Linked DNA regions of Lytechinus pictus. The protein of the gene in region 1 purifies or fractionates together with the protein of each later gene. This does not show direct contact. Links are inferred from orthologs where the notes say so. Each region holds a gene or a part of one and is shown in the gene's direction. Other genes may lie near its edges.

What was found. The genes of interacting proteins can lie anywhere in the genome.
Region 2: the proteins of T-complex protein 1 subunit theta-like (region 1) and viral IAP-associated factor homolog purify together in Homo sapiens (affinity purification with mass spectrometry; 3 studies listed by BioGRID and IntAct, with this or other methods). This does not show direct contact. The link is inferred for Lytechinus pictus from reciprocal best matches to the Homo sapiens genes CCT8 and PDCL3.

What each region holds. Positions count from the first base shown.
Region 1 is NC_087248.1:14,145,107-14,148,865, reverse strand, and holds the start of T-complex protein 1 subunit theta-like, read left to right. Parts: upstream 1-1,523; 5' UTR 1,524-1,849; coding exon 1,850-1,909; intron 1,910-3,759. UniProt on the Homo sapiens protein: Component of the chaperonin-containing T-complex (TRiC), a molecular chaperone complex that assists the folding of actin, tubulin and other proteins upon ATP hydrolysis.
Region 2 is NC_087245.1:32,495,706-32,499,464, forward strand, and holds the start of viral IAP-associated factor homolog, read left to right. Parts: upstream 1-1,024; 5' UTR 1,025-1,175; coding exon 1,176-1,181; intron 1,182-3,759. UniProt on the Homo sapiens protein: Acts as a chaperone for the angiogenic VEGF receptor KDR/VEGFR2, increasing its abundance by inhibiting its ubiquitination and degradation.

The sequences.
Region 1 (3,759 bases):
GGCCTTGTAGAAAAAAATAGTGGAATAGAACGTGGACTTTTAGATTATTCAATCCAATTCAATTTAATGATATTTAGCAAATCAATAACTATGATTCATGCAAACGTAAATAGATGGCTTTCCATCCATACTTGAGAGCATTGGGCAGGTCCAGAATTTTGTTGAAGAGGGGGCACATAGAGCAGGCCGCGATTCATTCGAATTTTGCACTGATATACAGATAAAATGCATTATCAGTAAAAAAAGGTAGACCTCTTATATTTACTGTTTTGTTGCGCTTATGGGGGTGGTAAAGTAAGATGACATCACTCTAAGAGGAACTTTCGTGTTATAACTACTTGGTTTTATATTTTCTTATCAGATATACTACGTGGTGTTAGATCAAGTTGTTATTACACGAATGTGCATGTCACTGCAAATGATGTTGTATAACATTTATCGCGAAATCAAATTGTCTGGTTGTTATCTTGTATGTTGCCTTTGTATCCTATGGCCAAATGGTATATTGCAGTGGCGGATACAGGGGGCGCATGCCCCCCCCCCTAATATTTGAGCAGCGCCGAAGGCGCCGCTCAAAAAAAAAATAAAAGAAAAGTAAAAGAAAGAAAAGGCGCCGCTTAGAAAAATAAAAAATAAAGGAAAGAAAAGAAAAGAAAAGGCGCCGCTTAAAAAAATTATACACTGATATAATATTAGCAACAGTCAAGGAAAGACTATCCCCCAGCAAAGACTTTACCCCTTTTTCAACATTTTCTTTTATGGCGCCGGTGAAGTACAAAAATATGTGCGCCGCTCGGCAGTACGCCCCCCCCCCCTTCGCCAAAAGCTGGATCCGCCTATGTCATTTGTCTATCAAATTTATGATTAAAGGTCAAGTCCACCTGAGAAAAATGTTGATTTGAATGAATAGAGAAAAATCAGACGAGCATAATGCTGAAAATTTCATCAAAATCGGATGTAAAATAAGAAAGTTATGACATTTCAAAGTTTTGCTTATTTTTAACAAAATAGTTATATGAACGAGCCAGTTACATCCAGATGAGAGAGTCGATGATGTCACTCACTCACTATTTCTTTTGTTTTTTATTGTTTGAATTATACAATATTTCAATTTTTACGAATTTGATGATTAGGACCTCCTTGCCTGAAGAACAAAATGTTAAAATAATGGAATTCCACGTGTTCAGGGAGAAATGAAACTTCATTTCACATGGCAATGACGAGAAAATCAAAATATTTCATATTTCATATAATGAAATACAAAAGAAATAGTGAGTGAGTGACGTCATCGACTCTCTCATCTGGATGTAACTGGCTCGTTCATATAACCATTTTGTAAAAAATAAGCGAAACTTTAAAATGTCATAACTTTCTTATTTTACATCCGATTTTGATGAAATTTTCAGTGTAATGTTTGTTGATTTTTTCTCTTTTTATTCAAATCAAGTTTTTGTTGGGGTGGACTTGTCCTTTAAGATATGATAAATCATCGCGAAATCTCGGTTTCGTTTTTTCTGGGACGCACTGTATAACTGCACTAGCTGACTGACGGCCGCGCCGTGACTCACTTTTTTTTCTAGAACATGCTTTTGCGAATAGTCTTTCTCCAGTTGTTTCCTCCTTCATGTACATCGAGTATTGTCATTTGACATAAAAGTTAGTCATGTTCTGTTTGCTTTTTAATTAGAGATTTTTTTTACAGAATTGAATATTGCTATTATACATGAAAAGGATTTATCTCTAAAATATGCACGTGTAAATAAGGATACCAATGATTTGTAATAATAAAATTGTACAAGAAAACGGCTGTTCAGACATCTATCTCAACTAACTACATCCGAAGTTCAACATGGCGATGAACATACCTCGTGCACCGGGCTTTGCCCAAATGCTGAAAGATGGAGCTAAAGTGAGTATTATTCCTCTCCAGAATTATCCGAGGTTGTGAAAGAATAGATAATGATTGCATGTACCTGTGAGTTCAATTTGATGATTTGATTTACTGGTGTGTAGGTGGTGGTAGTAATTATCGATCGTCTTTCCGTTGTCAAGGTGTTCCTTGTTCACGTTTGCCAACTGACCCTGTATCGGGCCGGCCGGCGGTATGAATGAGCTAGCTAGCGATAGGTAGCGCCTACCCGCGCGAGCAAGCCGCAGGGCTAGTCAAGTCGGTCAGGCGAAGGCAGAGCTCAGAGGACTGCCGTTGCTTTGGCCATAGCCATCACAACCTTGTTCATAGACCTTATCGCAAATAGCGTCTGTCGCGTGAGGGCGTCTGTCATCGCAGAGGATGACGAGATGCGAAAGGGGGCAAACGCGGAATCGGCTTTCGGGAAGCCATACAACGCCATATGTTTTGTGTAGTGTCACTCAAAATCCAGGGTTTTTTTTAAGTCTTATTTCTTCGTATTTAAATTATTTTGGATACTTGAATGTAGATTTATAGAACAATCTTTGTATCATGATTGCCCAGTGAAAGTATGAACTCAATACTCACCGTATTTTCGAAGTTTTCTGGGGCTAAACTTGGGAAGATTTTGTGGGAAAAGTGATTGCGGGTCATTGCCGATCGTCTTTAGAAAAGAGCACGTCGATCGGTGATCCAAATTAGATAGCATATTTTTCCATTAAAGAATATTCATGAGAAACATAATGTAGACCATATATCTCCATATAAATTTAGCTAGCCAAGTTTTTTGTTATTTTGGGGGAAATATAGTCCTTTTTTTGCAAGTCGGGCTGTTTAGTTTGATCATACAATTTCTATATAGGGGGTGCATGAGACAAATCTAAAGCCAAAAATAAGCTAGTATATATATATATATATATATATATATATATATATATATATATATATATATATATTTATATATATATAATAGGCCTATGACATGCAGAATACTATAAATCTGAATTTATTTAAATTTAAAACATTTTAAGTTTTAATAAAATTAAAAACATTTTATGATCCCGTATAGGCCCTATCCCTCAAACCTCTGTAATTTTATTTTGTCTGAAACTGGATATTTAATTCATATAAATGATATATATTCCATTCTTTTGAAATAAATCTTATTTCAACATTTACATATTCAATTAATTTCATCGCATTCAGTCACTTCTCTTTCAGATCACCTTCCTCATTAAATTCTTTTTTCTTATTTTTTTTGCTTATTTTTCTATCAATATACTTTCATCTATTCTCATTTTTTGTTATATTTCATTCATTATTTTGTCTATGCATGCCACTTATAAAACTTCAGAATGTCCGACCACGATCCTGAATAATTTGCAATAATATTATGTAGCCTATCTGTGGAGAGAAAAAGAAAACACAGCTCGGTTTATAGGCCTACTCTGAATAAAATCATGATTGAGATAATTATTTATGAAACATGTATTCTTGACTATCGATTGATATTACAAAAATATAACACTAGAATAAAGTAATCAAATCTACTGCAGAGTTTGTTTTATTGATCATCATTTTATTATTGCTTGGAATTCTGGGACCAGTTTCCTCCACTGCCTCGCCGACGTACCCCTGGGCCGAGAGTGCATGCCCGCTGTCCGTGCATACAATTCAAAGCACACAGCAGCTGCACAGCTCAAAATACGCACAGACAGTGCGCGAAAATGAAAGAAAATTGCACTTGTCTTCATAAAATCTGTGGTAATTCTTGCAGCTATAGACGGCACATATATCTCTGCCACCTATGATTAAGAAGAAAAGTAATGTTAGACTCTGGAACAAATATG
Region 2 (3,759 bases), on another chromosome or scaffold:
GCCCTGGGAACAATTTTGGGGTGGGGTTGCTGATGTACATTTTGACAAGCAAGCGAGAATAAAAAAAAAAACAATTCCCCAAAAGGGGGGGGGGGGTTCACAAACATGTTTCTTCGGTCTCGAAAATATTGACAAGCACCCCAAAGTAGAATAAAAATGGGTTTCACTACAAAATATAGGTCAGTTTGATAACATGTTTCCATTTTTTAACACCTACAATAATTTATGGGAGTGCTGCCTATAATCAGCTAGACGCAGCACCCCCAAGGAAAATCTTCAGCACCCCCGCATCCCATGCAGGGCCATGAAAATCACAAGGTAATAGTTGGGTCACGGTATTAACTGACATTGATTGCTTGTCATATCGAAAAGTTTAATTTTCTCTTCTTTTTATTCCGGATGGGGGCGGGGGTCCTCTCGCTCGCTTTGCACCTCTCACACGGCAGCATTTACTTCTTTTTTAAAATTAATTTCTTGAATGTGTGTACACCCGGGCGTTTGAAAGCCTCAGTTATGCATACATTTACGTAGGAATTGTGACTTTATTCGTACGACTGCATGGTGACCTTATCTTTGCCTTGAAGATGAGGGATATGATATGCAAGGCAGACCAAGCTTGCATGAAAAAGAAAAATACCCTGAGCTAGAACTCAACTGCTGGAATACAAATTAGACGCTTTGTCGATCTTTGATCAATTTTTTGTGAGAACTAAAAGGGGGTCAGATCTCATACACTTTGTTGATTTTGCTAAAAAAAAATAATATACTCCTTTTCCTATTTTTGACAATGTTTCTCTTTCTTTTCTCAGGTACTCCTGTTTGCATGCTAGCAATTTTTTTTAATTTTTTTTTTTGGGGGGCACGTGACCCCATATCCCAGTGTAGTTATTCACCTGGATCATGACTATCACTGACCTGTCAAGCATATACAAGGAGGATATTAATTCTTAAAAAATGTGACAAAACAAAATTTTAAAGGATTGCACTTATATTTTTTTTGCACTGAACGTGCAAGTAAAACAAAAACAAAATCGTGATCGATAGCGCTGCTGCATAGTATCGATATCTAGCTGAGGCGGAAATACTATCTCTCGAACCCGAGAAACGAGAGTTCTTATTTATTCTATTTGCGAAGCATCTGAGTCTCTCCCAGTTATCTAAAGTATATAGAAATCATGCAGGTAATGAAACGAAGTTTTGAGTGAGTGAATGATATTTATGATTATATATTTGTGTTGATTTTTAAGGGAATGTTGGGAAATTGAATAGAGGAAGCCTGAATACAATACACAAAAATGCACATTCGGGACTGAGCTGTGAGTACGTTTAAACATTGCACTCGTGATAAATCAATGGAAATGAGAAGTGGGCGGAGCTCCAGCAGAGCTTATCAATAGTCATTGCCGTGCGTGGATTTCCTTATTTGGTTATTAAAACATCTTCTTGTGTCTGGCAAAGGCTAAAACGTTTAAGATCTACATGTGTAATCATGATTGTTTTGTTGTTTTTGTTAATTTTCACTGAATTGGTTGTTCATTTGTACTAACTTTAGCCTTTTTAATGATAGGGAAGTTAGGGTGTCTGGAGAAAAGAAATATTTTTCTTATTTCAAGAAAATATCACATTTTTTTGTGAATTTGAAGAGAATTAACCATCAGACTGACAGAAATATAACATTTTTTGTTTAAATCCAATTATTTGCTGCAAAAAAGAAGAATGAAATTAGGTCAATTTTCAGCATTTCCTTGCCATAGACTGTGTAGTTAATAAATGGACACACACAAATCCAAATTTTTAGCTTCCGAGAGCTGTTATAAAAACTTATAAATTCATTATTAATGCCAAAAACTTGTCCATAAAGTGCCTAATATGAATTTTTATGCTCTTTCTGATGGTATGATTTTTATAAAGATTTGAAAACCAGATCACTATGAAAAATTGCGACAAAGTGAACAAATTTGTGCAAAACAAAAATTTCATTTTCCCATAGAAAACGCATGGGGAAATGGCAATCTCAACACACACACAAATAAGGGTTTGCAATTTATCTCTAAATCCTCATTTCAAATAATCCTATAAACTTGTCCTTACTGTTAAAAGAAGCCCCTGAATTTTCTCTTTCCATACATGCCAAATACAAGTTAAAGGACAAGTCCACCCTAACAAAAAGTTGATTTGAAAAAAGGAGAAAAATCCAACTAGCAAAACACTGAAAATTTCATCAAAATCGGATGTAAAATAAGAAAGTTATGACATTTTAAAGTTTCGCTTAATTTCACAAAACAGTTATATGCACATCCTATTCAGTATGCAAATTGGCAGACTGATGACGTCACCCACTCACTATTTATTTTCTATTTCATTATATGAAACATAAAATATTCTAATTTTCTCCTCCTTGTCAAGTGAAACAAAGTTTTATTTCTCCCTGAACATGTGGAATTACCATTATCTTAACAGTTCCTTATTGTCAAATTTGTAAAAATTGAAATATTTTATTATTCAAACAATAAAAAACAAAAGAAATAGTGAGTGATGGACATCATCGACTCTCTCATTTGCATATCGCTGAGTTGTACATTTAACTGTTTTGTGAAAAATAAGCGAAACTTAAAAATGTCATAACTTTCTTATTTTACATCCGATTTCGATGAAATTTGCAGCGTTATGTTTGTTTGATTTTTCTCTATCGATTCAAATCAACAATTTTCTGGGGTGGACTTGACCTTTAATAATTAATTCAGATCACATTTTTATAGCAGCCTGAATTTCCAGAAAAAATTTGCCATATTTTCCCCTAAATCAGCCTGTTTTAAGCTGACACTTTTCAGTGTGGCTTCAGACACCCTAATGATAGGCAAGAGTACCGTACTTGGGTCAAACCAAAAACTTTTGTAATTAGACCTACCACTACAGACACTGATTGAGTCAGCTAAGGTTAGTAGGCCTAGAACTTTGTAGAAGGAAACTTTATATTTTCTGAACATACACTATACATGTAGGTATACATGCACTAAATGATAATTGTTGAAGTATTAGTAATACTCTCAAACTTGTCAAAGAATTTTCTTACCATGACACAGGTACATGTAAATTAGATGGCCTTATTACAAAACAACATCTAAACTCAATCACAATTATTGGAAATACTCCTGTAAAATTGCAAAAAAACTGACCACAATGCACAACCATATCGTCCATCTGCCACGTCGACATCTGGTTTCAAGAATTAAAAGACTTTGTAATATATAACACTTACTTTGCTTGGAAGACGATTGACAGATGAATAGAATTTGTAATAGTATGAAGGTGGGCACCATGTCTGCGCACCTAATTATGTAATTTTTAATTTAACATGAATTTGTTTTAATTCCACAATACTTTTTCCATTGATAAAGTTCCTTATATGCTTATGAGGAAGTGTGCCAAAAATCTCATAAAAATTGGAAATAGATAATGGCCAGTCATTTTCAGATTAAAAAAGAAATGGTGCCCCATGTCTGCACACCCATTCACTTTACACACGATTCAGGGATTTTGATGAAGAAGGCAGCGTGTTGAGGCCGTCAGATGAAATGCCTAAAATTAAGTATTTTCCACCATTTTGAGTCAGATTTTTTAATGAATATCTGTCTATGTATTGCAGGTGTAAAGTTTTTTATCGTTGTGTATCTTCTTTTACTAGTATTAGAATCGTGCAGATAGGCATGCATGCAGACATGGGTGACTGCACAGACTTGGAGAACCTTACCAGAACAC